4 linked regions of the Schizosaccharomyces pombe genome follow. The gene in region 1 interacts genetically with each later gene. Each region holds a gene or a part of one and is shown in the gene's direction. Other genes may lie near its edges. The genes, in order: mms19, cph1, ccr4 and hif2.

What was found.
Region 2: mutations in mms19 (region 1) and cph1 together harm fitness more than expected from each alone (negative genetic interaction), as found in Schizosaccharomyces pombe (2 studies listed by BioGRID).
Region 3: mutations in mms19 (region 1) and ccr4 together harm fitness more than expected from each alone (negative genetic interaction), as found in Schizosaccharomyces pombe (2 studies listed by BioGRID).
Region 4: mutations in mms19 (region 1) and hif2 together harm fitness more than expected from each alone (negative genetic interaction), as found in Schizosaccharomyces pombe (2 studies listed by BioGRID).

Annotation. Positions count from the first base shown.
Region 1 is NC_003424.3:3,854,241-3,863,733, forward strand, and holds mms19 (TFIIH regulator Mms19 ), read left to right. Parts: upstream 1-3,977; 5' UTR 3,978-4,182; coding exon 4,183-4,651; exon of another isoform or gene 4,652-4,694; coding exon 4,695-4,837; exon of another isoform or gene 4,838-4,883; coding exon 4,884-4,987; exon of another isoform or gene 4,988-5,032; coding exon 5,033-7,324; exon of another isoform or gene 7,325-7,390; coding exon 7,391-7,439; 3' UTR 7,440-7,478; downstream 7,479-9,493. Other genes in the region: protein Rng8, read right to left, coding at 1-505, 560-620; protein Sil1, read right to left, coding at 7,479-8,495; signal peptidase subunit Spc2, read right to left, coding at 8,761-9,264. UniProt on the Schizosaccharomyces pombe protein: Key component of the cytosolic iron-sulfur protein assembly (CIA) machinery that mediates the incorporation of iron-sulfur cluster into apoproteins specifically involved in DNA metabolism and genomic integrity.
Region 2 is NC_003424.3:794,822-801,983, forward strand, and holds cph1 (Clr6 histone deacetylase-associated PHD protein-1 Cph1), read left to right. Parts: upstream 1-4,545; 5' UTR 4,546-4,728; coding exon 4,729-5,943; 3' UTR 5,944-6,160; downstream 6,161-7,162. Other genes in the region: export adaptor Nmd3, read left to right, coding at 263-1,759; CCR4-Not complex subunit Mot2, read right to left, coding at 2,172-3,408, 3,497-3,676, 3,727-3,779; ATP-dependent RNA helicase Upf1, read right to left, coding at 6,489-7,162.
Region 3 is NC_003421.2:635,567-643,366, reverse strand, and holds ccr4 (CCR4-Not complex subunit Ccr4), read left to right. Parts: upstream 1-3,743; 5' UTR 3,744-3,833; coding exon 3,834-5,906; 3' UTR 5,907-5,932; downstream 5,933-7,800. Other genes in the region: taf5 (transcription initiation factor TFIID subunit 5), read left to right, coding at 923-1,229, 1,443-2,536, 2,593-2,761, 2,811-3,075, 3,126-3,222; sec231 (COPII cargo receptor subunit Sec23a), read right to left, coding at 6,606-7,800. UniProt on the Schizosaccharomyces pombe protein: Acts as a catalytic component of the CCR4-NOT core complex, which in the nucleus seems to be a general transcription factor, and in the cytoplasm the major mRNA deadenylase involved in mRNA turnover.
Region 4 is NC_003421.2:189,053-197,028, forward strand, and holds hif2 (Set3 complex subunit Hif2), read left to right. Parts: upstream 1-5,311; 5' UTR 5,312-5,499; coding exon 5,500-5,551; intron 5,552-5,641; coding exon 5,642-6,408; intron 6,409-6,446; coding exon 6,447-6,866; intron 6,867-6,918; coding exon 6,919-7,374; 3' UTR 7,375-7,476; downstream 7,477-7,976. Other genes in the region: GET complex subunit Get2, read left to right, coding at 207-731, 792-1,040; kinetochore protein fta7, read left to right, coding at 1,678-1,793, 1,971-2,127, 2,186-2,350, 2,474-2,770; protein pdh1, read right to left, coding at 3,394-4,074; sec6 (exocyst complex subunit Exo3), read right to left, coding at 7,757-7,976.

The DNA of each region.
Region 1 (9,493 bases):
TCTTCTTCTAAAGCTTCTTTTTGCTTTTCGTACTGTTCGGTCTCAGAATTCGCCCGCTCCGTTTCAGCTTCCAATCTTTCAATCTCTAGCTTTAATTGCTGCTGCTCTTCCAATAGGTCGGTTATTTGTCTTTCGAATTCTTCTTGGATTTTTTGTTCTTCTTTAGCTGCCCGCTGTTTCCGATTTACCATACTGGAAACAGACGCCTTTTGCATTTTAAGAGAATCATAAACATTTAGCAAGTTATTCTTCGCTGACTCCAGCTCCTTCCTTTTCTTTCGCTCTTGCATAAGTAAAATAGAAACCTTGTCTCCTTCTTTCTTTAGTCTGTCGATTTCGTTTTGCATAGTAGCAATCAATTGACCAGAAGACGGTTTTCTAGATCCTGTTTTTGCATGGTCATGAGGTACTCCTCTACCAATATACGTTGCCTCAATATGATCTGTCAATTTTTCTAAATCATTTGCCATATCTTGGAGCGTCGAAACTTCTTCCTTTCTATTTTCTGGGATCGCTATATTAGCGTTTGCTTGAACTATTATTTACTTATTTCTCTTACCAATATTATCATGAACTTGCTCGATTTCATGTTCTAATTTTTCGGATCCCTCTAAACCCATTTTTTACATTAAATAAAAGAAAGAGAAATAAATATGAATTAGACTTGCTTCATTGCAAAGGATAAGTTGCATCCTTATTTTTCATTCATTGTCCTAAAGCATTCATTTATTGCACGGTAAGTCTCAGTTGGACTCGATAAACGGTTTAAGAGGGTGTATCAATCATTTAGATGAATGCCAAGATTTGAAGAAAATAGTATAATTATGGAATTATGGAACAAATGATTATTATTCTACATTATGTGTATAGACACAAAAATTTACTTTTAACAAGTCTTTCTCTTTAGTTTACATCCCACTCTTAGAAGACCATGGTTTATTTTAATAATAAAATATGCCATTCTATCATCGATGAAAATTGAGATTTGTATAATAAATAGTTAAATTTTAGTGCGCCAAAAATTAAGGGCTCATTTATGCTTTATACAGACTTAGTTTTTATAAACGTTTGCTATAAGTAACAGCATTACATAAATAGCAGAGGGCTAAATGCTGGCTAGATAAATATGAATGTAAAGTATGTTAAGAAATATTGAAAGATTACTCTCATTTCCAATGCAGGATTAAATGAAGTATATGAACAGATTTTGCATATATACCAAAAAACTCCAATAAACAGAGTGGTGATTAGCCACAGATACATTTTTTCTGTCTAGGTATGAACAGAACTTTATTTTATCAAAAGATGGTGCATTAAACATTTAGCTTTTATTTCTCCTTGGCTTTCCAATGAAATCCCACTGCGACCCAGGAAAAACAAGCTTTCTAGGAAGTGTTATCTGTAGCGGAAGGCTCTTTCGTTTCCTCTGATTTCACAGACTCCAAAAACGACGGTCGCCAACGATTCAAAAGCTTTGCGGCGGAAGCTTTAACATCTACATTCTCTTTCCACATCGTCTCAAGAATATCAAGGCATTTTTCACGTACAGGTTAGTCGAAACATTATTAAATACTGAAAAGTCATGAAACCGAGCTTCGTCTTATCGGGATCAAGACATACAAATTTAATTTTGTCAACTATAGCATCGGTGAGTTCTGGCAATTCAGACATAAATATCATAAAAACTTTATCTTTTGCCTCTAAGTATGGTAAAATGCTGTCTATTACTTTAAGGGCCCATTTTTCATATTGTGGACCTTCCCACTTAACATCCTCATATTCATGACAATCCGGATTTTCAAGCATTAGTCGATCATTATACCATTCCTCGGATAACCAGTTCAATATTAAATTTGTACTGGAACGCCAGTTAGATGCAACGTAAGTAAAAAGCTGCCCTCGAACAAATGAAGACAAAGTGAAAGAAGCATCTCCAGATTCCTCACCAGACGTTACAGGCTGATAATTCAATAAGCCTCGCGTACAAAGTCGTGGTAAGAGAATTGCCCAGTGACGCTTATCCCATACCGTATTATCCACATTTTCCAACGTTAAATTTTGAAGGTTAGAAGAAGAAACTATGCTTCTTTCAAATTGAGGAGCATAATCAAATAATCTGGATAAGGCACCGTGAAAGTATTCTAGAATAGCCATCGGGGACAGCGAATCTGGAGTGGGTAATTCAAACGCATCAGTAACGACATTGGAGGGAGCACTTCCCTCTAGTCGAGCTGCTTCACGTTCTACACTAGCATTGATAGTCTGAACATCTACCTCAGGCGGTTCATAATCCTCGTCCTCGTCTTCATCAACTTGTTGATCAAGACCAAGGGATTCAGGCTCAGAGAGAGAGCGCACTCTCTCTCTCAACATATTAATTTGCTGATGAAAGTAGTTTTTGTCTATCTTAAGAAGAGAAGTAAGTACAATTTCAGTAGCCACTTCAACCGGAATTGAAGTTACATCAAAATTTGCAAGAGGATTTATAGCAGTTTGTGAAGCAAATATGCTGATTAAGGGATTATTTTGCAAACCATCGTGAGAGCTAAGTTGGGGTTGCATTCTTTCTACAAGACTTTGTACAGCAGAAGACTTAACACGCTTAGAGGCAGCACTAATATTTCCCTCATATTGCCGTTTCTTCAAACTTTCATCGACTTTGGTATGATAAATTTGTCCGGAAAGATAAGCGTGAATTTTTTCGACGGAAGAAGAAGATGCACCTGTACTCTTAGCTAAATGAAGTAAAATAAGTTTTAGATTTTTTTCAATACACCGTATAGCTAACTTGCTTTCGTTCGACAGCTCAATTTCATCTTTTGGATTCGGAAGATGAAATTCTAACAAGCTTCCTATGATTTTTGGTGCTAGTTCCTTCCGTCGCTTCACCAAAACCGGTAAGATATTCAAAACGCTAGTAATGTAAAGGACATTCAAAGAATCCGAGAAAAGGATGGAAAATATTTTTTCAATTAAGTCATTTGCTTCTATTCTGAGGATATTTGAATTGATAAAAGGATGATGTGTGGGAACCTTAGAAAGAGACACGTCCGATTTAGTTACAAGACGGGGATCTCGAATCCCAGGCACTTGCGTTAAAATTACACAAGAAATAAATTTAATACAAGAAATTAAAAGAGGCTTGTTCCCTTTGTCAAAGTCATTAATGATTTCGTTTTTTAGCTTCGTTAAAGTGTCCCAGGTAGATGAATCGTTAGGTGAAGTACAACAGTGCAGAAATACTAGTGGGTAGATTGTGCAAGAACAAGATATAACGTCTTTTTTAACTTCTTCATTATCTACTGCGTACAGAGAAACAATTGTATCTAGACAAGTTACAGCTAAATCCAATTTCTGCTCAAATTTAACATTTTTGCTCGAAAATCCAAACCAGAGGAAATTTGCCATCCATTTTTTATACCTTATATCAGAATAGTTTGCCACAGAAAGAATGTTTCTCACGATTTCTGGAAAAAGGCTTTGATCAGTTTTAACAATATCTCGAGCCTGGTTTAAACGAGTAAGATGTTCGTCTGTCTCCGAAACTTCCATACCAGGACTAACAGAGAATTTAAGATGATAATTATATTAAATACTTATATGCTTATTGATCAATTTCTCAAGTAAATGTTAAAACTTTGCATCCTCTTTTTACTTTGCTGTCGGTTCAAATTTTGGTAAGAGAGGGAATACATAGCGCAGTGGTTTAAGGATCGTTAATATGTAGTGACTATATATAACGATGGAATAAAGGTTTTTGTGTATGATTGTAAAATCTTGAAGTAGAGATTTGCTAAAAAGAAACAAATTTTTAAAAAAAGAAAATAATATCCGATCTTTCTTCTAATTTCTTTAATTCATGGATTTAAGCAATTTAATTTACACAAATTCTTATCAGATTATCTAAATACTTTAATTAGTTTAACTTCGCTTCGGTAAAGAAAGCATACATAGCAAATGACATTTTGCAATTTGCCATTGTTAACCACATTTTCTGAGAGACGTTTCAACGATCTACTGAGGAAGAGTGCCGTCTACCTACTAGCTAGAAGAAAGTCAGCTTCGAAAAAGAGGACAAGGTTTCTAATCTCTGCTTCTCAATTTTTGAAATTCTGTTTTTTCTTATAGTGTTTATTGTATAGAAAATTGTTAGCATAATAGTACATATTAAATTTGAGGAAGATGAGCTCGAATTTAGTGGCTTTATATTTATTTTCTATTGATAGAAGTCAGGATGAGGCAAACGACGTTGTAGATCGAATTGTCGAAGAAATTGTCACTGACAGAATGGGGATTGTCGATTTGGTTACTTCAATTGGAGAGTATTTAACTGACAACAATATCTCTGTTAGAGCAAAAGCAGTTTTATTACTGTCACAAACTTTAGGTGAGCTTCCTAAAGATAGACTTCCTGCGAAACATGTATCTGTACTTCTTCAGTTTTACTTGAGTCGTTTGGATGATGAAGTTACAATGAAGGAGAATGCGTTAGGTATTGGAGCTCTTCTAAACATGCAAAACTTCCCTGCTCAAAAGATTGTGGATGTTTGTAAGGCTCTCTTCAGTTCCACTGACATGCCAAAATATGCTCAAGCAACTCGTTTAAACATTTTAAAAGTATTTGAAACCATTATAGATAATTATCTTTTCTGTAAGGATCTTTTTGGAGAGTCATCAATTAACTTAGTTCTCAGTCATCTCTTCACAAACTCGCGATGCTTTCTTCTCTGGAATTTGTTCAACTTTTGCTGGTGAGAAAGACCCTCGTAATCTTATGCTGGTCTTTTCTATGCTTAAAAAAATACTTTCTACATTCCCCATTGACGGATTTGAACAGGTATGGATCTCATTGTTAATCGCCTAATGAAATTACTTACATGTAGCAATTCTTTGATATCACTTATTGTTATTTCCCGATCACTTTCCGTGCTCCGCCTGATGCCACCAATTTGGCTATTACTAGCGACGATCTTAAAATAGCTCTCCGGTAAGGCATCATGACATGTGAACTATTGCTAACCGTCCTTTGTAGAGAAACCTTGGTTGCTAACGACGCGTTTTCAAAATTACTTCTTCCTGCTTTATTTGAAAGGCTGAAGGCTTCAACTGTTCGCATAAAAATCGATGCATTAAACATTTATATAGAAGCTTGCAAAACTTGGCGCGTGGGTGCTTATTTATGGTCTGCTAAAGACTTTTGGGAATCTATTAAGCAAGAAATACTAAATTCGACAGATGCTGAACTTCAAAATTTGGCGCTTGGTGCACTCAATACTTTAGCTAGTAAATTTTATAAAGAGGAAGGGTTTTCATCTTCGTTCACAGAGTTTGTGGATATGATTTTGATCCAATTATCACAGCGTTTACTCGAAGATGTTAATGTTAAATCTTGCGGATCTTGTGCAGCTGTATTTGCTTCCTTGGCTTCTATCTCTGTGGAAACATTCAATTATTGTTCATGCAATTTTTTACCCAGTGTTCTCGATCTACCAATGGTAAATGAACCATTGGAGAAACAAAAAGGGATGCTAGTTTTTTTGGAATACGTCTATAAATGTTTGGTACTTTTATACGGAAAGTGGAGAAGCAAAAACCAGGCTGATATTGACAACCCGCTACTTGTTTACAAAGACAAGCAACTTAGTTTTGTATCAGGCTCCTTGATGGGAACAGCCAAAGATGAAACTGAAATACGCATGTTGGCTTTAAAGGTTATTTTTTTAATGGCTTCGATCAAGAACTTCCTAACAGAGAGTGAATTAACCATGGTACTTCAATTTTTGGATGACATAGCATTTGACTTTTCCGATCCTATTAAGAAAAAGGCAACAGAATGTTTGAAGGATTTAGGGTTACTAAAGCCCGACTTTTTACTTTTGACTTCATTTCCTTTCGCATTTTCAAAATTAACTGATGATGTTACTGCTAAGTCATCTTCTGAAGAAACTTTTAAGCAATATTTATCGGTACTAGTCTCAATATCTGAAGAAAGGAGTTTGTTTAAGGCCCTTGTCATCAGACTTGTTGAGATGTTGAAAGATCAATTTAAATCCAAGGAAATGAGTGTTGATCTTGTCGAATCAATTGTTCAAAGTTTATCCGTTGCCTTTAAGGAAAGAAATGATCGAAATGAACAAGAGATTCCATTCTTTTTTGAAGAACTACTGAAGCAACTTTTTACCCTTTGTTTCGCTAATTGCGAGTCAATGAATGTGAGATGCCTTATTTATGTATCACAGACAATAAATGAGATAGTGAGAGTAAACCATTTTGAATTTCAAGAAAAGTTTGTTGGTCAATTATGGAAATTATATATGGAGAATTCCAATTCCGACTTAATTGAAACTGAAGGTTGTGAAAAAGCTGCAGAAAGATTTACGCTTGCAGCATCTTTAAGTGATCAGAAATTTTTAAATTTAGTGGTATTATTACAGGGTGGTCTTAATGGATTGAGTAAAAAATTACATTTTATCGAAAAGTTGAATATTGAGTTGTTGAATTTACTCATAAATGTTGTTTTTGTTACGGAAAGTCCTGGCGTTAAAATTAGCGCTTTACGTCTCATATCCTCGCTTATTAACAAATGTGAAAAAGACGAAGATATATCAAGTTTTATATCTTCGAAGGGAGTCACGTCTTTGTGGGATAAAGTTTATACTGGAACTCCAAAGGAATCTGAAGCTGCACTCGATGTGCTGGCGTGGGTTGACAAAGCTTTGGTCTCTAGAAAGCATAGCGAGGGCATTCCTTTGGCTTTTAAATTATTGGATACTTTGAATTTACAAAATGTCGGAGATTCTTCGGTCAAGGCACTTTCAATAATTATCAAAGACGATCCTGCGTTGTCCAAGGAGAATTCATATGTCGAAAAGCTGTTATACAAACAACGTTTTTACGCTAGTGTTAGTCCTAAGATTTTAGAACACATTTCAACTGCTACTGGAGGAGAAAAGTCTTTGTATTTAATGCTTCTTTCTAATGTGATAGGAAATGTGCCAAAAGAAATTGTAATTCCAGATATGCCATCTATCCTTCCACTTCTACTTCAATGTCTTTCACTGTCTGATATTAGTGTTAAACTTTCGACGTTGAACGTTATACATACTTCGGTTAAAGAATTGACTTCATTATTGACGGAATATCTTGATACTTTAATTCCTTCGCTTTTGGCAATCCCTAAGGATATGAATAATCCAACTGTTGTTCGTCTTTTAGCCCTTAAGTGTCTTGGAAGTCTGCCAGAGTTTACTCCTACCACGAATTTACAACTATTTAGAGATAAAGTAATTCGTGGACTCATACCATGCTTGGATGATCCTAAAAGGTAAGAACCATTCATTTTTAGTGAAAAGAATAACTGTTAACTACAAAATGCTAATGAATAATATAGGGTTGTAAGGACTGAAGCAAGTCGAACTCGTCATAAGTGGTATATATAAAGAGAGATTTTGATAAGTCATTTTTGAAAAATAAAAACGTTAAATATTGTATTTTTTAGGCCAAGGAAGAGATAAAGCTTCTTTTATAATTAAATTAAATTCAGTAGCAAGATCTGGATCTTGATAAATTAATTTATTTTTGTACGCCAAATTTTTATCGTTTAACCATTCATAAAAGTTAACTTCGGGACAACTCTCACTAACACTTTGAATTGTTGATACGGTGTTAAGTAGAACCTCGAGCGTTGAAATTGAGCGTAAATGCCAATTATTCATCAAGTACTTTTGAAAGATGCTACACCAAGTCGAAAATACCCACTCTATTGGGATAACTTTAGAAGCTTTGCTAAAATTGACATTTTCCAACGAACGAGCAATATTTTCAAAGATGATGGACAACCTACTTAGCAGTTTCTCCTGAAAAGCAGAAGGAATATCAATATGGCTGTTTCTCGACCAAAAATCATACAACTGAAGAAGAATAGCCGATCCTAAATCTTTACTAATGAAAGCCTCAGATAAAGGAAAAGATTGGACAGATTTACTTAATAGGAAAAGTTTCTTCAGTAATGTAACTGGGTGGTTTTCCTGCCGTAAAGTGTTCACAATTTTTGGCATAATATTCATTTCTAAAGCCTTTTTCTGAGCTATGAAATTATTGCTAAGCGCTGATGCCAAAACAACAGACGACATTGAACGAATCGTATTTGGATAGTCTTTCCCATCCATCAAAACAAAAAGTTGATCGCACAGAGGCTGTTCAAGTACATCCTGACCAAATTTTATATCATGAGCCAAATCACGCATTGTTTCTAAAGACGACAACACAATGCTTGGGTCTGAAGTATCAGGATTTAAAATTACAGAAGATGACTGATCGAACAACTGTCTATCGTAAAGTGAAACAGATGAATCTGAGCTTACAGTCCTCACATTCAAAAAAAGGTAACATATTGCAAGAAATAGATTCGACAAAGAGAATGTTAAAGTAAAAAAAATTCTGTAAATTTGAGTATTTCTTTTCTTTTTAGACGAGTTTCCCAGAATCGAAAACATTGAACCGATTAATCTCCAATTTTTTCACTCCTGTTAGAGAGTGGTTTATGGTAGGATAGATTTCAAGAAAAAAAAATCCATAGCATGATTAGGCAATTGCCGCTGGTAAATGGAAAACGTAGCAATAAAATTCATGTTAAAAAATAAGAATACGATACGGACGTTGTGGCAGGCATGGAAGCCTTCTAACGAAAATGTAGTAATTGAGTATTTCGCTTTTTGGCAACAACTCAAATTGAGAATTGATTAAAAAAATTGAGCTCAATCAGTTTTCAATTTGAGACAAGTACTTTGAAATTTCCGCCTCAAAAGTTGCACTTGATATTTGGCCATCTTCTTCAAAAATGTGAGCAACAGGAACCGACCATTCAAGTTGAACAGCATTTCTGTTTTTGAGTACGGTAAATTTAGTAGTGATTAGAGGCTTATTTTTCAAAGGTAAAAAGGTATCCGCAGAAATTTTGATGTGTCTTTCTTTTTTCGTAGCAACATAAACAGTACTACCCTTGACTACAGAAGACCAAAATGTGAGCAAGCAGGAAGCTAGGAAATATAAAGGTAAAAGATACTTTAAGTAAGATTTTAAAACACCAAAACCATAAACATACTCAATGCCAAATGCGAGGCCGGCGGGTATAATGCAAGCTATTGCGATCAGCAAACGAATATCTTCAAATACAAAGGATTGCTTATAACCATTTTTGTTAAAATGGTTTGTTAATTCTTTATCAAATTTAGATTTGAAATCTGAAACGTTATATTTTGGCATTTTTACTATTAGCTTAATTATGGTAGAGGAAGCAAGGCTGTAGTTACTGATGATCAGATATGCGGTTTCGTTGATACGATGGCATGATGATTTTTTAAAATTAAGTAACCTAAAAGATGTTTTAATATTTAATATAAATGCCTGAGAGCAAAAACATGAACTCCGCTACTGGAACGAAAGCAAAACAGTCGATTACTAAGTACTTTATAATACTATCATGCTCTTTCAA
Region 2 (7,162 bases), 3.1 Mb from region 1:
ATAGTCTTTTGGATTTTTAAAAGCATTTTACCGATTCCTCATAGCTCTACTAATAACTATGTGCCCCTTATAAAATAAGGTGCTTTAGCAGAAAATGAAAAAATCTCGTTAAAGATTTACTGCGAATTTAATTACAGTAGGGAAAAAAATTACTTTCCTTAAGACTGTACATTTGAAGTTATCTTCTTCCAATTCAGTGCCAACAATTGTTAATTGAAACTCCCATATATTGGCCTTGCATTAAGGGTTTTCAGTAAAAATAATGGATATGGACAGTGGAAGTATGGGGGTTGCTTTTCAACCCTCAGAGCCTATTGCTTCAACAATCTTGTGTTGTGAATGTGGAGTTCCAACACCTCCTAATGCGGCTGCTATGTGTATGGATTGTATAAAAATGACAACGGACATCACTAGTGGTATTCCACGGGAAAGCACAGTTAACCATTGTCGTGAATGTGAACGATACATGCAACCACCTAATAACTGGATGATTGCACCATTGGAATCTAGAGAATTGATGGCTATTTGCTTAAAAAAGCTTCGAGGCTTGAATCAAGTACGCCTTGTAGATGCCAATTTTATCTGGACCGAACCACATTCCCGACGAATTAAAGTCAAATTAACGGTACAGAAAGAAGCCTTTACAAACACCATCTTGCAGCAAAGTTTTCAAGTTGAATTCTATGTTAATAATACACAATGTCCTGATTGTGCTAGAACTTACACTCCACATATATGGAAAGCAGTTTGTCAGGTTCGTCAAAAAGTGTTACATAAGAGAACGTTTTTGTATTTGGAGCAGATTATTTTAAAGCATAAAGCTCACATGAACACTGTAAATATTAAAGAAACTAAAGACGGAATTGATTTTTACTTTGGCCAGAGAGCACATGCGATTAAAATGGTTGAATTTTTAAGTGCTGTTGTTCCTATTCGCTACAAGGGCAGTGAAGAGCTCATTAGCGAAGATTTTAAATCCAATACCGCAAATTATAAATTTACTTATTCAATTGAAATTGTTCCTATCTGCAAAGACGATCTTGTATGTTTACCAAAAACGGTAGCAAAAGCCCATGGGAACATTGCTCAACTTGTGGTATGTACAAAAGTCGGACCTACGATCCGCTTTCTTGATCCGCTTACTTTACAAACCTGTGATATGCTTCCCTCAATTTATTGGCGTACCCCGTTCCCTGCACTTGCAGATATTCCCGAACTTACTGAGTTCATTGTTGCCGATGTCGATTTATTAGGCCCAACAAATGGAAAGTATGCCCTCGCCGATGTGGAATTGATTAAATCATCCGATGGGTCAACGCACTTAACACGCACCCATCTTGGTGGTATTCTAAATGCGGGCAATACCGTCCTTGCGTATCATTTAGCTGTTACCAATTTTAACAATGAAGTATATGATACTCTTCGTGAAGATTCTATTCCGGAAGTTGTAATTGTTAAGAAAACTTATCCTCAAACGAAAAAGAAGAATCGGAATTGGCGTCTCAAAACTATCGGAATGCAAAAAGCCGAGGATGTCAAGAAACAAGACATTGAACGTCAAGAACGTGATTATGAGTTATTCTTGCAGAACTTGGAGGAGGATCCTGAGCTTCGCCAAGGCGTCAACTTATACAAAGCACCAGTTAAGGCTATTGCCGTTGCAGATACTGATATGGATGAGGAGGATGAGGTTGATGAAGACATTCCTCAAATAAGCGTCGATGAGTTGTTAGATGACGTTGAGGCAATGCATATTTAAAAATGCTTTAGGTTACCAAACCTTTTTTAGTTTTTATTTTGTTCTTGAACCGTTTTGGATTGGGTTATCAGATGGGATTGGTTATTCACGTACTTTAATTTTAGAAGTTTTATTTAAACAAAGCTTTCTTCCACATTTTTTTTAGAAATTAGTGATTCGTTTTAATGAGTTGAGGACAAATCGACTTTAAATGGCTTTTAAAAGTAAATAAAACTTTCGTAAGATGATATGACTTACTAAGATAACTAGATCAGTATGTGCTATGTATGAGGTGGTAAAATTATAAGTAAAGAATAGGCTTTTTTTACCATTTTTAGTCAATCTACTATATGAGGAACCCATAGAGAATTTATCTTTAAAATTTTTTAATAATATTTATGTAAATACTACAAAACTTAAATGAAAAAGAAGACTAACTTTGGAAACCAGGAGGAGGCATTACAGGGTTGCCGTTATTAATTCCTAGAGAAGTAGGAGGTTGATTCTCGGCGCTTTTTTCCTGTTCAGGGACAACCTCCTTGTCAATAACAGAACGCGCGTTGAATACAAACAACGGAGGAAGATTCTGAATCATTTCGATTTGCTTTTTATCAAATTCAGTTCCTTCCGTGCTAAAATTGATTTTACTCAACGATGAAACCAAGTCATTAATTGCTTTGTTAAGCCACTTTGTAGTGTTTTCTTCTTCCGAGGGTAATTTCGCAGCTTTCAGTTTTTGGATTTTAGGTATTGAAGTCTGGGTTGATGAGGATTTCAGTGCATCTAAAGGTTGCTGATTAACAGCGGCACGTAATCGTTCTTGTAATACGCTTGGAGATAATTTTGCCCAAGCAGCAGTTGGTGGAAGAGCAGAACTCTCTTCGTGATGAAGAATAGTTGTTGCATGTCCAGGAACGACGTTTACAGAAGCAGCAGAAGAATAAGGGGCAGGAACGCTGGTAGCAGTGTTATTAGTGGATAAGGAAGGTGTCATTGACACTTGTGGATGAACATGATCAACTGTTGTAATATGCTGATTTTGTGCAGCTGGACTACTATTAGCCTCTTCTAACGGTGTTTTCGTAACAGGAAGTAGAGGTGTTTTGAATGGAAGAGAAGGAGAAGGAGAATGAGTAGCACCATTTACCACATTAGGTTTAGTGGAAAGAGGACGGGTATGTTGAAGAGATGCCAAGTCTTCTTTAGTATAACTATCCACCTCGTCACCGGGTTCATGTAAATACATGCAAGAAGGATTGGGGCATTGCTGATTCCGTAAATAAGAAGTGCAATATTTAGTGGTACCATAAGATGCGCGAAGATGTCGCCCATCACTTACGCTGCCATCAATTGCAGCAATCGCTCGTGCAGCATCTTCTTTTCTTTGGTATGTAATATAAACTCCAACATGACCATTTGCAGAATTTGCAGCAGCCTTCTTATTTATTGCAATTTTAATAATCTTTCCGTATTGACCAAAGTATTCAGGTCCCTTCAGAACGTTGATATTCTCCTCATTTGCAACTTTGGGAGAAAGGCCGTTTACATAGGCAAGGTTCTTTTGTACAACACGAATATTTGCAAGATGCTTCCTGTTTGAAAGCTCGACTTCCTTCCTCTCTTTCTCGCGTTTCTTCCTCTCGTTTTTTCGATGTAAGTCCATCTTCCATCTAAAAACATTAGCGACATGTTTAAAAATAAAAGTGAATTTAAACAAGATTATGCTTAAACAAGAATTCTATAATCTGAATTACATACTCCTCTGCCGTGACAGGCCGCCATTGAACATTTTCTTCAGTGTACAGACGGCGACATGCAGGACAACGGCCATTTAGATCTTCTTTGATATGGTGCCAGCAAAATCTACAAACTCTGTATCCGCATTGGCATGGTTTGAAGTTTTTATCAGAGATATCAATTTCTTCCATACATAGAGGACTGTTGCAATTGTCAGTTAATTTTGATACTAATCGGCTAGTAAAACATACCAACACATGTCATCCTCATCTTCTGAAGAATATATCTCTTGCGTTTTTAACATTTTGTGTGAAATATGTCAAATCTCCGTCACAGTGCTCTCCAAATCGATACTGTTTAAGGTCGCTCGTTATACAATACAGAGGAAGTCTTCAAATATCTTAAATCAAATCTTTGATTTTAATTTAATTTAGTTAATTCCCTTAATATTCATTAGACTTCAAACAAATATTTTTTAAAGGGCAAACCGAGTTGTGGTTGGTTATAAGTTTACTTACAACTTAGTGTAAAAGAAGGAGGCAATGACTAGGTGAGAGGTTGGATTTGAACAGTATATACCACACGAAAAATAGCAATTAATAGACATGAATTAAGAAATTTGAGAAAATTCTTATTCCAAAGGTTTTTGGAATTGTGTTTGAACAACAAAAAGTACCCTTAAAAGTTTCACCGTCTATAATTTCATCTTGATAATTAATTGCAGTAAACGTTTGTAAACGAATGTATTATATATACAACTTTTTCACGTTGTGGTCAAATTCTTTAGTTATTTCATCTTCTAAGTAATTAGTGAATATATTGAATTGACGAAAAAACGATGAACAACATAATAAGAGGCATAAAGTGCTTCTCTACTTAATTTACGCTCCATGTTCCATCAAATGGATAATAGTTTTTAACAAAATGTTCAAATATTTTACATATAGAAGGGAATTTATTCTTATGATAATCATTTATACTAAATGCTCCTCTCGAAAATCAGATATCTTTAAGTAGTTTTCTAAGTCTAATTGCAACGACGTTTGGCGTTCAAAGACTTGTTGTAACTTAGCATCTTCATAACAGCGTTGCTTCACTATAATATACTTACAACCTCGACCATTGTTCTTTTTTACGATAACCATTAATTTTACCTTTAATATTCCTTAAAACATTAAGGATAGTATTGATATTTCTAAGTGCTAACCGTCGCGTATTACATGTTGCTTTGCTCATAGCATGGGAAGTATCTAATGGCATCCTCTATAAACAATTCATCTCAACCTACAGTACCTTCAATTTCTAATAATAGTCATGGCGACTCTTTCGTAAATGAAGGTCCCCCTTCTAATTTTAAAAATAATTCTTTAACATCATCAACTCACTCTTCAACTGACCATGTAAATGTCTTGCCAATTAGCCAAGACAAAGAGATGGATATAAGTTCTCCAGTGAAAAAACAAAAAGCTAGTTATTCGAATAAATCTCCAAATAAAGCACCTATTCAAAAAAGCCGGGGTAGTTCCCTAAAAAGTCATCTCGAAACCGAATCTCAACAAACTCCTGTAAAGCGACGGAGACGAAAAGCGACTATACGCAACGTCGACTATTGTAGTGCATGCGGAGGAAGAGGTCTTTTTATTTGTTGCGAGGGATGTCCTTGCAGTTTCCATCTTTCATGCTTGGAACCTCCCTTGACTCCTGAAAATATTCCAGAAGGATCTTGGTTTTGTGTGACTTGCTCAATCAAATCGCATCACCCTCCTAAGCACCCTCTTAGTATATGGTCCCAGCTTTACGATTGGATTGATTCTCAGAATCCCTCGCAGTACCGATTGCCCGACGACCTTGTGCATTATTTCCATGGAATATCTCGTGGGGATACAGGTGCTTATAAGGAAACTGAAGGAGAAATGGATACTGACGAGTTTTCTGCTTTGCCGACTGGCTCCTCTATCACTAATCTAGCTTACTGTGGTTATTGCTCTAAGCCATCAATGGGTGCTTGTTGGGTCTATGGTTGCCAGCTGTGTGACACCTTCTATCATAAAAATTGTAAAGAGCATGCTAAAAAATGCTCTCATGACTCCATTGGAAAAAAAGGTATGAGAGTACCAAAAAACGCCGTGGTGATAAGGACGCCCTTGGTGTTGGATACAACTTCTAATACTCTTAATCCTAAAGTCATGATTTCAGGATGGCAATTTCTTATGGGAGAGTTTCCAAGTGATGAACTTCTCTATTTCCCAAGATTACCCGTGAGTTGTCTCTACAAAGTTTCAGAAGACGGTCTCATCAAAGATTTTTTGTACGCGATTGGCATAGAAGCTAAAAAGTTTAATAATGAAAGGAAAAAACGAGAGTTAGAGGTTATTCCTCCAGACGTAAAAAGCGCACTACTTCCTGCGAGAACGCACCCAAACCTACCTATTGCACTACGCACTTTATTCAATAAGGCACGCACTTGAATTTTTACGATATTTTTACATTTTGTATAAAATCAGACTACGTTAATCTAATCTGTCGTGTTCAAATCGTCAGAAAAGGTTGTTTTCTGTTATTTTTTTGCTAATGTTGTATTTATAAAACCTCTTAGAACTGGCTATCTGTTGTAATTGGCTTATTTTACATTACTTTTCTCCATTAAGGCTTTTAAAAAATTTTCGTTATGCAATTAATCATTGCAAATCCTTCCTAATAGGGCAAAAGTTCTATTTTATACTAACAACTTCTCAATACTTAAATTTTATACGCGTATTGTACCGTGTGAGTATATATAAGTATATATAAGTATATATAAGTATATATGAGTAAGATGCATTTACTAGACAAAGAGGAATAAAATAAAAGAAAGTGATAAGGAAAGGTTCTATTACTAAAGTCTATTTAACAGCCATATCAATGGTTTAAAACGCTTACAGACCAAACGGTCCATAAAACTTGAACACCAAAAATATCAACAAATAAAAGATATGTTGGCATTCGTAATTACAAGTAAGCAAATACTTATTAACTAGAACCTAGTAGGTTCGTCGAACTTGCTTTCATCATCACCAACCTGACTTCTAAAGTCTTCAAAGTCGGTAGCGTTGCTTTCTCTTCGTTTGTATTGAGCAAAGACATTCCATTCTTCAAGATACGAGGAAGAGTATAAGTTCGGAAGATTAGAAAACGAAGGTAACATGGCAGAACCGGCATTCTGTATAGGAGATAGTGATCTTTGTACATTGAGGTCTCTTTTAAATTTTTGAGGTTTCTGAGGAGGAGTAAGGGTTAAGGAAAACTTTTGTAAGCTGTTCAAAGTGCCTTCAACTAAATATCCTTTTTCCTTGCAATGGAGGACAAAATGATACCATAAAGCATGTTTAGCAAGGACTTTTGGATTACCGAGAACAATTACACCATACTTTGCTCGAGTCAATGCAACGTTCAACCTTCTTGGATCGTTAACAAAACCAATACCTTGGTGTTCACTAGAACGTACACACGACAAAATAATGAAGTCCTTTTCTCTTCCTTGGAACGCATCCACCGATGCTACTTCAACAGCTTTATAAAGATCCTTCTGCATTGATCCGTTATTTTGCATGTACTGAACAATATAGGAACGCTGACCATCATATGGAGTAACAATACCAATTTGCTCAGGAAGCACGTTGCTTCTTAAAAATGTGGTAACAATTTTTT
Region 3 (7,800 bases), on another chromosome or scaffold:
GTACTTACCACCAAATCCCTAAAACTGGTCCAAAAGAAAGAAAACTGTAAAGAAGAAAATTAAATATAATTAAAAATGAATGTAAATAATTGATAGTTTACAGTTATTATCTACAGTCCATTACTTCATCGCAACCTACTATTTGTAAATTTCAATAATGTAAATAAATATATCAATAAATAAATAAACCGATTAAGACTCAAAACCATACAAATCTGTAACAGGAAAAAAAACATATAATTTCTGATAAACTCATTTTATCAATGCTACATCAATTTTTGTTATAAACTAATGATTTTGAAGGAAATATGAAATTTCCCAATTTTTTGAATTTTTTAAAAAAAACTTCTACATTTTCCCTATTTAAATTTCAACCCAACATTTAGTTTTATTTTAATAAGGGGCCCTACTATAATTTAATTAAAAAATTATAAACATCCCGAAATTGGGATGAAACTTCTAAAAAAAAAGTAAGTGAAAGTTTTTAAAACCGAATTGAAAATCAAAAAAGAATTTTAAAAAGTATCTAATTGAAAAAGTTTTACTATGCAAAACTTTTATTTATTTATTTTTTTTTTCTAGCGTTCATTGCCTCGCAATCCTGTGTTGACATTAAAACAATTTCATAGACAGTTCATTTTTGAGTAGGACAAAAGAAATAGTAATTTAGATAGGATTTCGACATCAAAACGCTCACAGACACTGTGGAACCTTTCCAAATTTCAGTTATTCATAAATCCTGCAAATTCCCAATTTAGCGTGGTACACAATGGTATGTTAATAGACACGAACTCGACATATGCTACTTCCTAGCAAGTTGCTTTGAGCTCTGCGCAGGTAATTATATGAATCACGGTCATTTGTAGATTTATATTTGGATTCTAATTAATTTCTTCAAGCTAGAGTATTGGAGAATTTAACCATGTCTGCCACTAATGGGCCGCAACCGCAGGATCTGAACAGAATTGTTCTGGATTACCTTGCGAAGAAGGGATACTCAAGGACCGAGGCGATGCTTCGTTTGGAAGCATCGGGTTCTGGCGTGTCAGTAGAGGAGAAGTTAAAAAGCATTGAGGAAACTCCAGATGCATACACACACACGTATACGATCTTACGAGACTGGGTGGATAGTTCGTTAGAATTGTACAAAGCTGAACTTCACAGGATATTATTTCCTATATTTGTTCACTCATATCTTAATCTCTTGTCTCAAGATCATTATGAAGCTGGTAAGTTGGTCATATTGGAGGAGGTTACGAATTTGTTACATGTTTGTTTCGATGATCTACGAACAAGAGGGGTATTTGAACTATTCTAAATACTTATTAGTTTCTTTATCTATTGAGTTTACAACTTGTCTTTATTTCTGAAACTCATTCCACTTGACCACCCATATTTAATTCTTTATAAGGATAAATGATAATTTTACTAACGTGCTATAGCAAAGCAATTTTACGAACTCTTCAAAGACGATCATACTGATCTTCATGACTTTGATGTAAAAAACTTAAAATCGCTGAGTCTTCCAAGCCATGTCGCAGAAGACCGCACTGCTCAACAATACCGGCAAAATAAATATCAACTCCATTTTTCTAGGATAACATTTGATTTATTGCTTCATTTCTTATTTGAAAACGTTTCAAACGGTGGGTCAATTATCATTAAATTAATCAATCAGCATATAGATATCCATATCGTTCCCGGACGTCCCACCGTCTTGGAAAATGCTAAAGTTATCAATGAACAAGAAGGTATTACCGGCCAATCCTTTGAACGAGGAGATGCTCAACTTCAACCTGTAAAGCTGCAACAAATGCCAATGGACAAAGAAATGGAAAAAATTGTAGAGATGGACTTAGAAGAAGAGGATATGATGCACCAAAACGATCCAAATAACCAATCTCCAAAACTATTAAAAGAATTTAGAAAGCTGCATGAACCTAATGCTGAAGATGCTCCGTCTAGAGATTATATCCCTCTTCCTCCTCATAAAGGTGTTGATATTCTTTCAGAAGTTGAGGCTGTGAAAGATTGGAGTAAAAGATTACATCTTGGACCTAGAGCCTCCCTTCCTAGTGTTTGTATGTACACATTCCATCACACCAATAACAACATGAACTGTGCTGAATTTTCTCCTGACTCCACAATGATCGCCTGTGGTTTTCAAGAAAGTTATATACGGCTATGGTCAATAAAGGCTGACAAAAAATCATTACCTAAGTCAACTTCTGTAGAGGATTCAGATGGCTCAGTACGTTTACTGAGTCATTCTGGTCCTGTTTACGGCACCACATTTTCTCCCGATAATAAATATTTACTATCTTGTTCCGAAGATGCTAGCGCCCGGCTGTGGTCTGTTGACACAAAAACTGCTTTGGTAGCTTACAAGGGACATACTGGCCCGGTTTGGGATGTTGCCTTTGGTCCGTTTGGTCATTACTTCGCTACTGCTTCTCATGACCAGACTGCACAACTTTGGAGCTGTGATCATATATACCCACTTAGAGTTTTTGCTGGGCATTTAAGTGATGTAGACGTATGATTATTATCTTTTTTAAGAAATGTGTTTCCTTATGACTGACTTGTATTTAGTGCGTTACCTTTCATCCAAACTCCGCTTATGTGCTAACTGGATCAAGCGATAAAACATGCAGGCTTTGGGATGTACATAGAGGACATTCTGTTCGTGTTTTTAATGGACATACCCAACCGGTAACTGCTGTTGCGATTGCCCCAGATGGTCATACTATGGCAAGTGCTGGTATGTTATACATTTGTTATTACTAATGATTTTACTAATTTGATTAAAGACAGTGAAGGTCTAATTCACCTTTGGGACATAGGAACAGGAAGGCGTATAAAGACAATGCGAGGTCACAGAGGCAACATATACTCTTTGTCATTTTCTCGCGAATCCACGGTCCTCGTTAGCGGAGGGTCAGATTGTACTGTGAGAGCTTGGGACGTTTTCAAAACTAATTACAACAATCCTGTTTCTTCTTCTCTAACGGGAAGTGTTGTTACACCTTTCTCTGCTAAAACATCCACATTTAATGAAGTCAATTGGTCTACAAGGTATGAGAAAATGTAATGGAATCGATATATTTACTAACCTTCTCAAACAGTCCGGATCAAATGGTAGCTCTTTATACGAAGCAAACCCCTATATTTAATGTCTCCTTTACGCGTCGTAACCTTTGCTTAGCAATAAGCGTTAGTTAGATAAATAAACCTTTTTTGATCTTCAATATGTTTCTTCCCGTCCATACTTTAAGAAATTTGGCATTATATAAAAAAAGATTATAAAAAATTTAATTTAAATATTAAACATTATCTTACTTTACGATAATGAGTCAACAACTAACTGCCTTTTAACAACTTTGAGACATCCATGTATCGGAATCGAAATTAGGCTGAATAATTCATATTTGATGTTCCGGAAAAGCTTTTAATATTATAAACTTCATAAAGGACTTCTGATGATACATTATATATTAAATTTTTCAGTAGCTCCAATATTTACATAGACCATAACAGCGCTAAACATAAGCTAAAATAATTTCATGTTTGGACCCTAAATTATATTATTTAGAAAAAAAATTAATAATATGAATTAATTGAAAGCATTCATATGCAATTATATACCTAAAAAACGATTAACAGGACACTGAGTTTTCGTCTCAAATCTTGGTGGTGAGCTTTCGTATCCCACCTATAAGCTATCACGGGGTTCGACTCTTGCCGTTCACCAACAACCTCACTTTTATTGTATATATAGTGAATGTTGTAAATTAGAATTCATCTCGACTTTGATATTTTGCGAGATACCGTCTATGTTTAATCCTAGGTATACGCAAGGTACAATTTATCCAGGAGCGCACCCGGGGCTGTTGACGCCAGACCATCAACATGCAGCAATATTATCTGTACAGAATTCGCCAGCTTTAGAAAATAGTAATATTTCTGAACATTGGAAACAGCAAATTGCACTTGCAACTCAGTCCAGGTCCTTCAGTTCACCACACCAACGAGCTCATAATGCTGCGGCTTTAGCACGAAGTGGAGGACCTGGGTTTTCGATGAATTACAATGCTCGGACTGGAGCTTTTACCGGAGGCCCTAATGCTGCTGGCTTATCCTCGTTAGGGGGAAAGTACAATACTAGCTCCACTACTACAACATTGACGACCTCAACAACATTAAACACTTCCAGTGGTACTACCTTAAACAGTACGTCAAAAACAACCACTTCTTCTGTTGCGGTTGATGACCAAAAGTCGAAATCTGACTCTAAGAAAGAGAGACGGGATTGGACTTGTTTGGACCTTGGTGGTATTGGTTTGAGAAATGTGAGCACTGATTTATTTAAATTCTCTTTTTTGACTGAATTATACATAAACCATAATAATCTTACCCGATTACCACCTGAAATTGGCAAACTGAAGAATTTGGTTATTTTGGATGCCTCTGGAAACAGCATTAAAACTATTCCACCAGAGCTTGGTTTACTTACTGAGCTTAGAGAAGTCCTATTGTTTGATAATATGATTAGTGTAATACCTGCCGAACTCGGTACCCTTTTCCAATTGAAAATTCTTGGTATTGAAGGTAATCCTCTTCAAGACGTTTACAAGAATCAAATCATGGAAAGTGGTACTGCAGGTTTAATTGCTGCTTTGCGCGATGGTTGCCCTGTTGGCCCTCCTCCTCCTGAGCGTGGATGGGAAAAACTTGTTTCCGATGATGATGATGATGTTAATGACAATGTTTCAACCTCTGTTAGAGATTTAACGGCTGCTGATTCTAACAAGCCCTCTACAACATCTAAGAATCTCAAGTTTACTATTATGAGTTATAATGTGCTTTGTGAACGTTATGCTACATCCACATTGTATGGCTATACTCCTTCATGGGCACTCTCTTGGTCGTATCGCAAAGATTTAATCATGCAAGAATTAGGTGGTTATAATGCTGATATCATTTGTTTGCAAGAAGTTGATGTTGAGAACTATGATACTTTTTTTGCTCCACAAATGAGTTTGAAAGGTTATAAAGGTGTCCACTTCCCGAAAAGTCGCGTACGAACTATGAATGAGGTTGAACGTCGCATCGTCGATGGTTGTGCTACATTTTTCAAAACATCTAAATATGTCATGCACGAAAAGATGGTGATAGAATATAATCAAGCACCATCTCTTCGTAGGCAAGACATTAAACTAACGTCTAACATGTACAACCGTGTTATGACTAAAGATAACATTAGTGTGATTACTCTTCTTGAGAATAAGGAAAATGGATCGCGATTGATCGTTGCAAATTGTCATATTCATTGGGATCCTCAGTTTAGGGATGTCAAGGTTATACAAGTTGCAATGCTCATGGATGAGATTGCACAGGTTGCAACAAAATTCCGTAATATGCCTTCCAAGATTCCTTCTGACCAGTTAAAGGATGAAAGACCTACCTATCCCGAGTATTTAAAGATCCCCATCTTAATTTGTGGAGATTTTAATTCCGTCCAAGGCAGTGGTGTTTATGACTTTTTATCATCTGGTAGCATTAGCCAAAATCATGAAGATTTTATGAATAATGATTACGGAGAATACACTGTTAATGGACGTTCTCATGCATTTAATTTGAAATCTGCATATGGTGAATCTGAAGCTCTCTCCTTCACTAACTATACACCTGGCTTTAAGGGTGCCATTGATCACATTTGGTACACCGGCAATAGCTTGGAGGTAACCGGTTTGTTGAAAGGAGTGGATAAAGATTATCTTTCCGGCGTTGTTGGTTTCCCTAACGCACACTTCCCTAGTGATCATATTTGCTTGCTGGCCGAGTTTAAAGTGAAACAGGAGAAGACACCCTTACCTTCATCAAAGTTTAACAATGATAAAAAATGATTGTTAGTTTTTGTCGTGTTTGTAGATTTTAGAGTGATACTTAGTAGCAAGTAGATGGATTTGATGTATGATTCTGCATTTCGCAAGTACCAGGTATTTGGTTAAGTTTACATAGATATCAAAGCAGTGTAATTTTCCTTGTCGTAATAATTTGAATAGATAAATTGTAAATCATTGAGGTTTCGTTTTTGTTTACGTAGTTATTCGTTTTACTTTTATTGGAAATTAGCATTAACAAGGGGTGAACCGCCACACATCGTACTGATGGTTTGCATTAAAACGTTGATTTTTTTATTTTCATAATAAAAATGAGCTTCGCCATTTCATCAACATTCAACCATCTCTAAAAATCGATTGTGTTGAAGATATCCTTATTTTGCTCAACATAACTTCACAAAAAATTCATAAAATATTTATCTATTTTAAAAAACCAACAAATTACAACGAGCGTAATACTAGAGAAATATAACATCAGTAAACGAAATAATATTGATAAGCAAGACTATGCTATCCTAGACTCAAGCCAAAAGTGCTGAAATTTTAATCATTCATTAATGTTTATAATAGTCAGCTGGAGAGACCAAGAAGTTTATCAAACATAAAAAGCTTTTTATTTATGAGAATCACCAAAAGACTAAACTTCTTAAAAACGATGACTACAAGTAAGGGCTGGTAGTTTATAGATTTCATAAAGTGCATTTATGAAACAGCTACGGCAAGTTTTTTCAGATGACTCATGAAGGTTTGTAAGGAGACATCATCAGTTAAAATAGCATGAGCAGGTGGAGCACCATACATAGACGTAGTGTTGTGCGTTTCAGAAGGATTAAGGCGAGAAAGAAGAAACCGTGCCTGACTGCCTCCCTGGTCACAAACGATAAATCGAGGGATCGGGAATCGATCAATAAGCAACTCCGCTGCTTCGACTCTAGGAGCTTCTAAAAGTTCTTTTAGGTTTTGGTATTCAGGCTGATTTTGATAGCCAGCATTTCTCCATTGGGCTATAGTGTCCCCATGGAAAATTAGAATATGGAAGAAAGTATCGAGCAAGAGAATAACATCCGGTTTTACAGATACAGCGTCCAGCAGCACTGGAACGCCACCAGGGTGTTCGAAAGAAAATGATTGCAAGGTAGGTTGAATCATAATAAGAGAATTGTTAACATCTTCATGGTTGAGCATGTGACGATAAAATGCAGTCTCATCTGGTGAATTGTTAAAAACTTGCAGAAAGGGGCTACGTCGTAAGTAATACATAAATTGAGGGTAAAGGGTAAATTGTGAAGAGAGACGGAAACTTGACGGATCATCTTTTCTATACTCAGCAAACTTTTGACAAAGTTTGATCAGCATTCGGTCGGTCCATCGAAGGACGTCAGGTCCATCATCGACTTCCGCTTTGAAAGCTGCAATACGAGCCATAGCAACAGCAGCAGCTTCTTGATCAAATGAATTTACGATCAATGGACTACCTCCATCAGCAAAAGCGCGAGCCACTGTTGTTACACGAAGTCGGAATGTGTTTGATGAATGTTGATACAAGGTTAGATATTGTACCAAACCTCGAGAGTCCCCCTGAGGGGCAGAGGCACTTTGAGTAGCTACTTCAAAGTAAATGGCATAAGTGGACTTTGGTGATATACCACACATTTTCCAACTATTAGTGTTACCAAGGCCAATTTCGATATCGCCAACATTTTGTGATTTCTTGTTTAGGGATACTGCGTGGCCGATAAGACCGGAAATTTTCAACTCCTTAGTTGTAAGGACCTCCATAGTTGCATTAAATCCAAGAAGCATATTATTCAAAGAATCACGACCAAATATTCTTTGAAAACTTTGCTTAAAGATAGAAGTAGTGAAAGAATCAGATAGAACAAGGTAACCCCCAGTG
Region 4 (7,976 bases), on another chromosome or scaffold:
TAACAGCTGTAGGAATTCAGTATTCTTCTAACACTTATGCATCACTATTTTCTCTCACCCCAAACCCCTCGTATATTGGAAAGTTGTTCAAGTGAGCATTATTGATTTTTTCCCAATATAATATTGATAAAAATATATATCTGTAAAAAAGTTTGGTGTTAATTATTTATTTTATTCTGTTTTCTGCTGATTCAAAGACTTCGAACATGTCGACTGCCAGTGAACAAGCTCGACTTAGACGTGAACGTCGACTGAATAAAATCAAACAAGGAGGTGCATCTAGAATCAATCAAATTTTGGGACAGAATTCAGATGACAGTCAATCCGATGTTCGAGCTACAGCTTCCGAGGAAGCTGTACATTCTGAAACTGCAACACCAGTAACGCCAATGTCTTCAGGATTCATGGAAAAGAGAGATGATACCTTCAATGCTGATCAAGTGGAATATCTTCCTTCCCAAGATTACCATAATTTGGAAAGTTCGCCTTTTAAACTTCAGTGTGATTCTCCATATAATGTACCACCTGAAAACATGTTTAATCAAAACCCTGATTTTGCAAATTTTTTTCAAGCTATGTTACAATCCGCAAAGGAGGGATCTGATACAAATTTTCAAGGTGAAAACGAACAAATTCCTCAAGCTACAGCTCCTTTAAAAAACTTAGTTGAGAAATATGCTCATCTTTTGGCAATTTCTATAGTAGTGATTGTTTGTTATTTTAAACATTTGGTAAGTCCTCATCTTCCTTTTTTGAAATTGTTTTTTTGCATACTAATATATTTATTTCAGCCATTACTTCCGTGGACATTTACTGTCGAAGCTTGCTTGTTCTCTATTCAATTTGTTTTGGACCGTAATAATGGACCTTCTTATTCTCTTCTAGCATCTCTGGCCTCTCAGCTTCCCCCTCCCTATGGAGCAATGATCCGTCATACAACAAGTTATGTTCCGTATTTCACACAATTGATTACAGATGCGTGTATGACAATATTTGCGTTAGGTTTATGTTGCTATTTTTATCCGTCGTTGGTGTATTAATAGTTGTTAATTTTCAGCATTTACTATTTATGAATCTTGGTTTTGCTTCGCAAATTGGTGATCGATTAATTAGCATTCAATTTTTGTTTAGATGAAATAAACTAACTGATTAAGCGAGAAAGACTTTTCAAACCCTTAGGAATTCAATTTTATATTATCTTTTCAACATCTAAACGATTTATATTCTAAAACATACTGCACTTCATTTGAACTGCTTTGCAACACATGCCATATTTACGATTGTCGGTACGTTTTATTTATTTTCTCTTTTAATTCAATGGTAGCAATAGTATATGATTTAAAAAGCTCTGTTTATTGTAATTGTAGTATTAATTAAAAACAGACTACTTAAAGTAATTTCTGGGATAGCTGTGAAAACATTATAACTATGATTTTTAAAATCTTTTATCAACTTATTATTGAAATAAAATAAGTAATTGAGAATTGGCTTGGTTGACTGTATATATGTAAAACAACTTCGTCCGAAGCGCTACAACAGCATGCAAACGTTGAAACGGCGAATTCTTGTTATAGAGAAATTTTTCATATAAAACCATACGTACATATTTTGCTATTTAAGTTCCAGATTGCTTAAAAGAAAATTGAAGTGGTAGCACCATTTTTATAAATATATGCAATGGAAATGAAAAGGCGCGTTCGCGCGGTGCGTCGAGACCAAATTCAAAAAAGATGGCGTCCATTAGAGGATAAGCAGCGCCAAGAAATAATAATTATTTTTAGGACGTGTTCAAGGTAAGTAATTGAGAATCATGTTATTGCTAAAAGTGCTTGTGCTTTTTAGCGCTTACTTGTGTACTGAAAGGGAAATCAAAGTTTGCTGTTGATGTTTACCTGGAAAAGTCTTTTAAGTACTTTTCCAAATTTTTTTAGTCATTATGTGTACGTATGCTAACTGTGCTATCGTAACAGATTGGTTTTGAATACAATAAAATCAGAAACAAGAAAATCTTTGGCCGAGGAATGGTTCATGAATATACTTTTAAAAATCGAAGCTCCTCTGAGAAATTTGCCTGTACCAAGGAAAAGAAAAGAGTCAATACTGTTCTCTCAATTACTTTCTTCGAATGTAAGTTATTAAGTCTTGATACGCATACATACGAAAGAGATATGACTAACATTTTTAGATGCAATTGGAACAGCAATTATACAGTGATTTGGACCATATTAACGTACTTCAACAGGAATTGAAGGTTGAAACTGCTCGTTTGGAGAATGAACAGAAATCTTACGAAGAAATGAAACAAAACATGGCCATAAATAATTCACGGCTTGCCGATTTAAAATCTAAAGTAAGTTTAAAACACGAACAGGCGAATGTTTTATTCAAGACTTCATCTTAACATATGACACAAAATGAGTTTTCCATTGTTTCAGTTATGTAAATAATCAAGCAATCACTAATATTTTCTTAGCTTCACCCTTATTTGAAGAAAGGCTTAAAGATATCCCATGATAATTTTTCAGACTCCAACGATTTCTCGTTCCAAAAGAAACTGAATACAGAAGATTCTAATACTTCTAAAACCTCTACATTGGATATGTATAAAGAAAAATTAAAGCCATTTACGAAAACTATGCAAATCCATGCAAATAAAACTGTTCAATTAAGTCAAACTATACAAAAAGCTACTCTTCTTTTACAACGACTAAACAATACAAAAAATATAGGCCTAAATAAGTCATCCAAACTTAAGATAAAGAATATCTAGACATAGAAAAGCTAGAGCTTAAGACTTGATGACTTCTACATGTTAACATATAGTCCCTGGCCCCGAACCATGACCAACCCAAAAACTGGATTAAATCGTCCTTTAATATAAGCACTCAGACTAATTGTCCCGTCTTCATTGAATTCTCACAAATAGTGTGACGACAAGCCAACTTAATGGAGTGCTTGGTAGATTCCAGCAGCTACGGACTTAATTCAATTAAAGGACTTTTTGCTAGAGTTTAGGGTAGGGTAAGCATAAAATTATAGTAGCATTATAGTATCGATTTTGAAAGTAATTTCTTTTGCTTTATTTAATCATTAAAAGATGCCGTAAAGGATTTTGTGCCTTGCGGAATTGTCAAGAATTGTAGTATTACTCGTAAACGGTCGTGATTGTTATTTAACAGTAGTAACTGCCAAAAAAGACTTAGTTTTTTATTTTTAATAAAAGCCTTCAATATTATTTAATAAATAGACGCAAAATCATAAGCAAACTGATTTTAAATTCATTTGCGCATGCAGTCAATAATTATAAAAGCAAAGCAATACACGGGTCTTAGATAGCTAGTCAAAACAATAGCAATGCGTAAAAAAGTATTGATTTTGATTAAAACGGAAAGTTCATATAGGAAGCTGAGTATGACTTTCTAAATGGAAAAGTTCTTGAACCACAGGATGAACAAACAACACATATAGCTCAGAGATGCAAGTGCCTGAGACAGCTAAGCAGAAATAAGTCCATGGAAAACTTTGAAAAACATAAAATAAGTGAATTGAAAGGAACAAATAAATAAGGTATTTTGACAATGGACAGAGAAATTTGTTTGAAGATTCTTCCTTTTTACACGAATACAATTGGTACCAAGCAGTTAAGATCCCTGCTTGAATTGCGGTCGTACTTTGGATAATTGCGACCAACAAGTAATGTGAATCTGTAATTTTGTATGCAATAAAGCAAGGTATCAAGACAGCAATGTTTGGAATCACTGTTAAAAACTGACAGAAAAGCAAGTACTCCTTATGACCCCATGAACGTTCAATTTCAACGCCATACACCGAGAGAATGAGAATACTTGAAAGTAGCGTAAAAACATTAGCATCAACAAAACTTGTGGTAATTATTGTCCATGGAAACAAGAACAAAGCATTTGGAACCAAATGAAAACATAAAAGAAAGAAAGTTACAATAGAACTCCTACCAAACACTTTGATGTAGATGCTGATTCCAAATGATATTGCAGAAAACAATACCTCTAGGATAAGAAGCCTTTTCGTAACCGAAAACTTGGAGAAATGATTCATTGATAAATTTTAGGTAAAAAAAAATAGTAAAGTTCTCGTTACCGTAAAAATCATCGACGTCAACAATTTTGGTCTCAAAGTAAACAATACCAGGATACCTCTAAGTAAATGGTGCAATCCGAAATAAAATTTCTAGCTGTTTGCATCTAAAAAATAGAAACTCTTACGAAAACTGAATTGGCCAAAGATCGCTTCACTGGAATATAAGCATAATAAGAAATTGCCTATATGGATTAATACAGTTAGTAAATTAGAAAATGAGAAGTTGAGATAAGACACTGCACCTGGTTTTTTAATGCCTTCTCAATAATCTCATTTACAGGGACATTCGGTAGCGGGTAAGATGATAGGTAGGTCATGGCTCGACCAGATTATAAACATCCAGAAAATTACATAACTTTGTAGCTTGCCGATTCTAATAGAAGATAGAAAAGAAGTTTAAACTCGCTGATATATTTGTTTGAGCACAACCTGGTTTATCAAGTAACTATGATCGGTTCGGTTGAGGAGATAAACGCATTCAAAGTTAGAGTAAATAGTAAAGGGAGAAATTAATTTTTATTATATTTGGCAGTTTTTTGAGGGAAACCCTGATGAGAAATTGCTGCATATCGCTCTGCTGGGTTAAAACAAAGTGTTGATTCTCTTAATCGAATAATGTCTTAAATTATTAGTCATAATTCAAATCATCTTTTCCTTTCTTAGAATATAGTGAATGCATTGTTTAGAGCGGTCTTATATCAGAAAGAAGCATTCGCTTGACCTTGAAACATTTGTAATAGAAAATCACATTTCCTTAGCATGATAAGCGGACCCTGAATGTTCAAATTATTCAAATAAAATAGCAGTATATTTTAGAAATAAAAAAACCAAATAAGGCTCCTACCACTCTTGTATGGAATGTTGAGTACAGAAATAGCATACGAATTCATGAAAGTCAGAAAATACAATCTGGCTGCCAACTCCTTAACACAAACTTCTAAAAGTGAATTTTGATTGAAATTAAAAGTCGAAGAGAACTATTAGCATTGCCGTTTTAAGTTGTTAAGAGACCGACTTCAAAGAGGGAAAACTTTACTGAAATTCCTCGGATACAAAAAGTGGGCACTCGATTATTTTTATTTTGATCAAGCGCTGTTTAAATAGTAACCTACGTGCAAATAATAGAGCAGGAAGATTTAATCCACAGTTTCAGCCATCGCACGTATCTAGTTAAATTTCGGTAACTAATACTTCCACAACTACTAAAAACCGTCTCAATGGGAATTCGTCGACAATCCTTCAAGTTAAATCCGTATTGACAGGAAAAGAAAGAAAATAGAAGACTGTTGAGGTTTTAAGTGAAACTCGTTGACAGACCTTAAGATTTGACTTTAATTTACGTGGGTAGCTTGAACCATTATAGATTTAGAAATTGTGGAGGAAATGGATACGAATCAAGTTAATTATATAATCTGGAGATATTTGAAAGAATGCGGTATGTTAAATAGTTGGTTTTTGTGAATCATAGTCGCTTCATCTCTCCTTTTTTTCGGTTTCGTTAACATTATCGTGTTTTTTGTTGTAGGTTATTCGCATACTAAATTTGCATTTGAAAGGGAAACAGGCATCCAAAATTTAGACAAACAATGGGGAAGTACTTGCCAGGTTGGCGCTTTAGTCGAAATTCTGCAGAAGGGTTTACAGTACGTGGAGCTCGAAAAGCACTACGTTGATAATCACTCCTCAAACGAAGAAGCTAGCAAAACATCTATAGATGGAGAAAGTCTTGTAAATGAAAATCCTTGTAAACTCCCTTTCTATCTCACCGTACCTCATATATGCGAAACGACACTGACGAAAGCTGACTCTACCAATGGGTTTTGCGAACACAATAATTCTAATGATCACCAACTTAAAATTTTACAAGATAAGGGGTCTGGGTCGCCTTCATCTCCGGTCATGCCATTTAAGGATAAAATTGAGAAAAGGGATATTGACATTACTATGGCCGATGAATCAAACGTAGAGAAGGATCCGGCTCGACCTATAGCCGTGTACAACAGTTCACCTGTCACGGAAATAACAGAAATAAAACAGGTTACTTTTACTGGCGGCGAAGACATAAAGTCGGATTTTTTCAAAGTAATTCCTACCAAACACCCCGTTACCTGTGCAGATTGGCGTCCACTATTACAAGAAAATTACCATGTTTACGAATTTTCTATTGGTATGACAAACGCTACTCTGGCTTCAGTTAGCATTTGTGAAGAGCAAAATGATTTCAAGGCAAAAACAGATTATTGTCTGCAATCTTCTTTCGATAACCAAGATATCACTGGCGTTGCTTGGAATGTAAGGTTCAAATTTTTTTTTGAAATACTAACTTTTAGAATTCTGGTTCTTTTTTAGCCTACGCATTCTTCAGCGGTGTGATTGAAATTTACGATAGTCATGGTTCTCAAATCCTTAGCTTTCATAACAACAAAGGCCCTGTTTTATCTTTGAAATGGAGCGGTACTGATACATATCTAGCTGCTGGTTCGGCGGATGGAACTATTACACTCTTTGATCAACTGAAGCAAACACAATATTCAATTGACACACTTGCATCTTCCGTTTTAGACATTGAATGGATTAGCTTTGATGAATTTGTAACTTCGGATGTGGAAGGCTCCTTGCGAGTATACAAGGTCGATGGCAAAGCTCCGGTTTCTACAGTTTCTCATGCGCATGATAATTCTATTGTTGCTTTACGATACAATCTACGTATCTCTCTTCTATTAACTGCTTCTAGTGATACCACTGTTAAGGTAAATTTCTTTTGTCATTCTAATAATTACTGTTTTCTAACGTTTTGTATAGCTTTGGTCTAGAGGTGATGCTGGTGCTTTTGAATGTTTACATGTTTTTTCTTTTAGCTCACCGGTTAATTGTATTGACTGGAATTTGCGGGAAGGGACACCAATTCTAGCGGTTGCTTCAAACAGTATCGTTTCTATGTATAATGCTATTTCCCTTCAGCAACTTGCTGTATTCATGAGGCATACAGCTCCTGTTAGTGCTTTGAGCTTCAGTCATAACGGTCGCTATCTTGCTACTGGTGATACTTCTGGGGGAGTATGTATATGGTCATGCAAAACAGCCAAACTATTTAAGGAACTGGGTTCCGATAACTCAGAGTTAATTGCTGTTACTAATGTACTTCCAGAGGAGCAAGTTAATTTCTTACGGTGGAGTTTTGATGATAAAGATTTACTTATCGGTAAACAAAAGAAGGAGATTATTTGTTGTTGTGATTTTTTACATGATTCTCTGTAATTGAACCTAGTTGATCTTGTATATATCCATTTATTACAGTAGGTTCGTTGGGTCATCATCTATAGTCAAATATATACATATATATAATCATATACGAATTTTTATTTGAAGTTACTAAACTGGTAGCTAATATTTGTCAAAACATAATATGAACAGGAAACAATATGGACCGCGAAATTGTCAAGGTCCAATATCTATTTATCACAAATACCTTAATTATAGCGACGCTTTCGATTGCCATCTTGAAAGTTAGTAACAGGTATAATAGATAGCGTGAACGCAAATTAGTGGCTTCGTCTAACATAAATCAAAAGGAACATTACTATAGGTAAAGATAAACCGTACGTAGATCATTAAAATTCAGCAACGACTACTTTGGATCTCATAAAATTGAACTTCCAGAAAGAGACGTGACTTGGGAAAATACTGTCGGTTGTTGCGAAGTGTCTATTTGGAGTGAATCATTTTCATGGCGTACAATATCAATCATCTTCTTTATTATTGATTTTTCCAGGTCGGTGCGGTTTTGAAGGACTGCTTCAACCAAGGACAAAGGTGCATCCCAGTATGCTTCTTTCAGCAAATGAAAGTATTCGGAGACA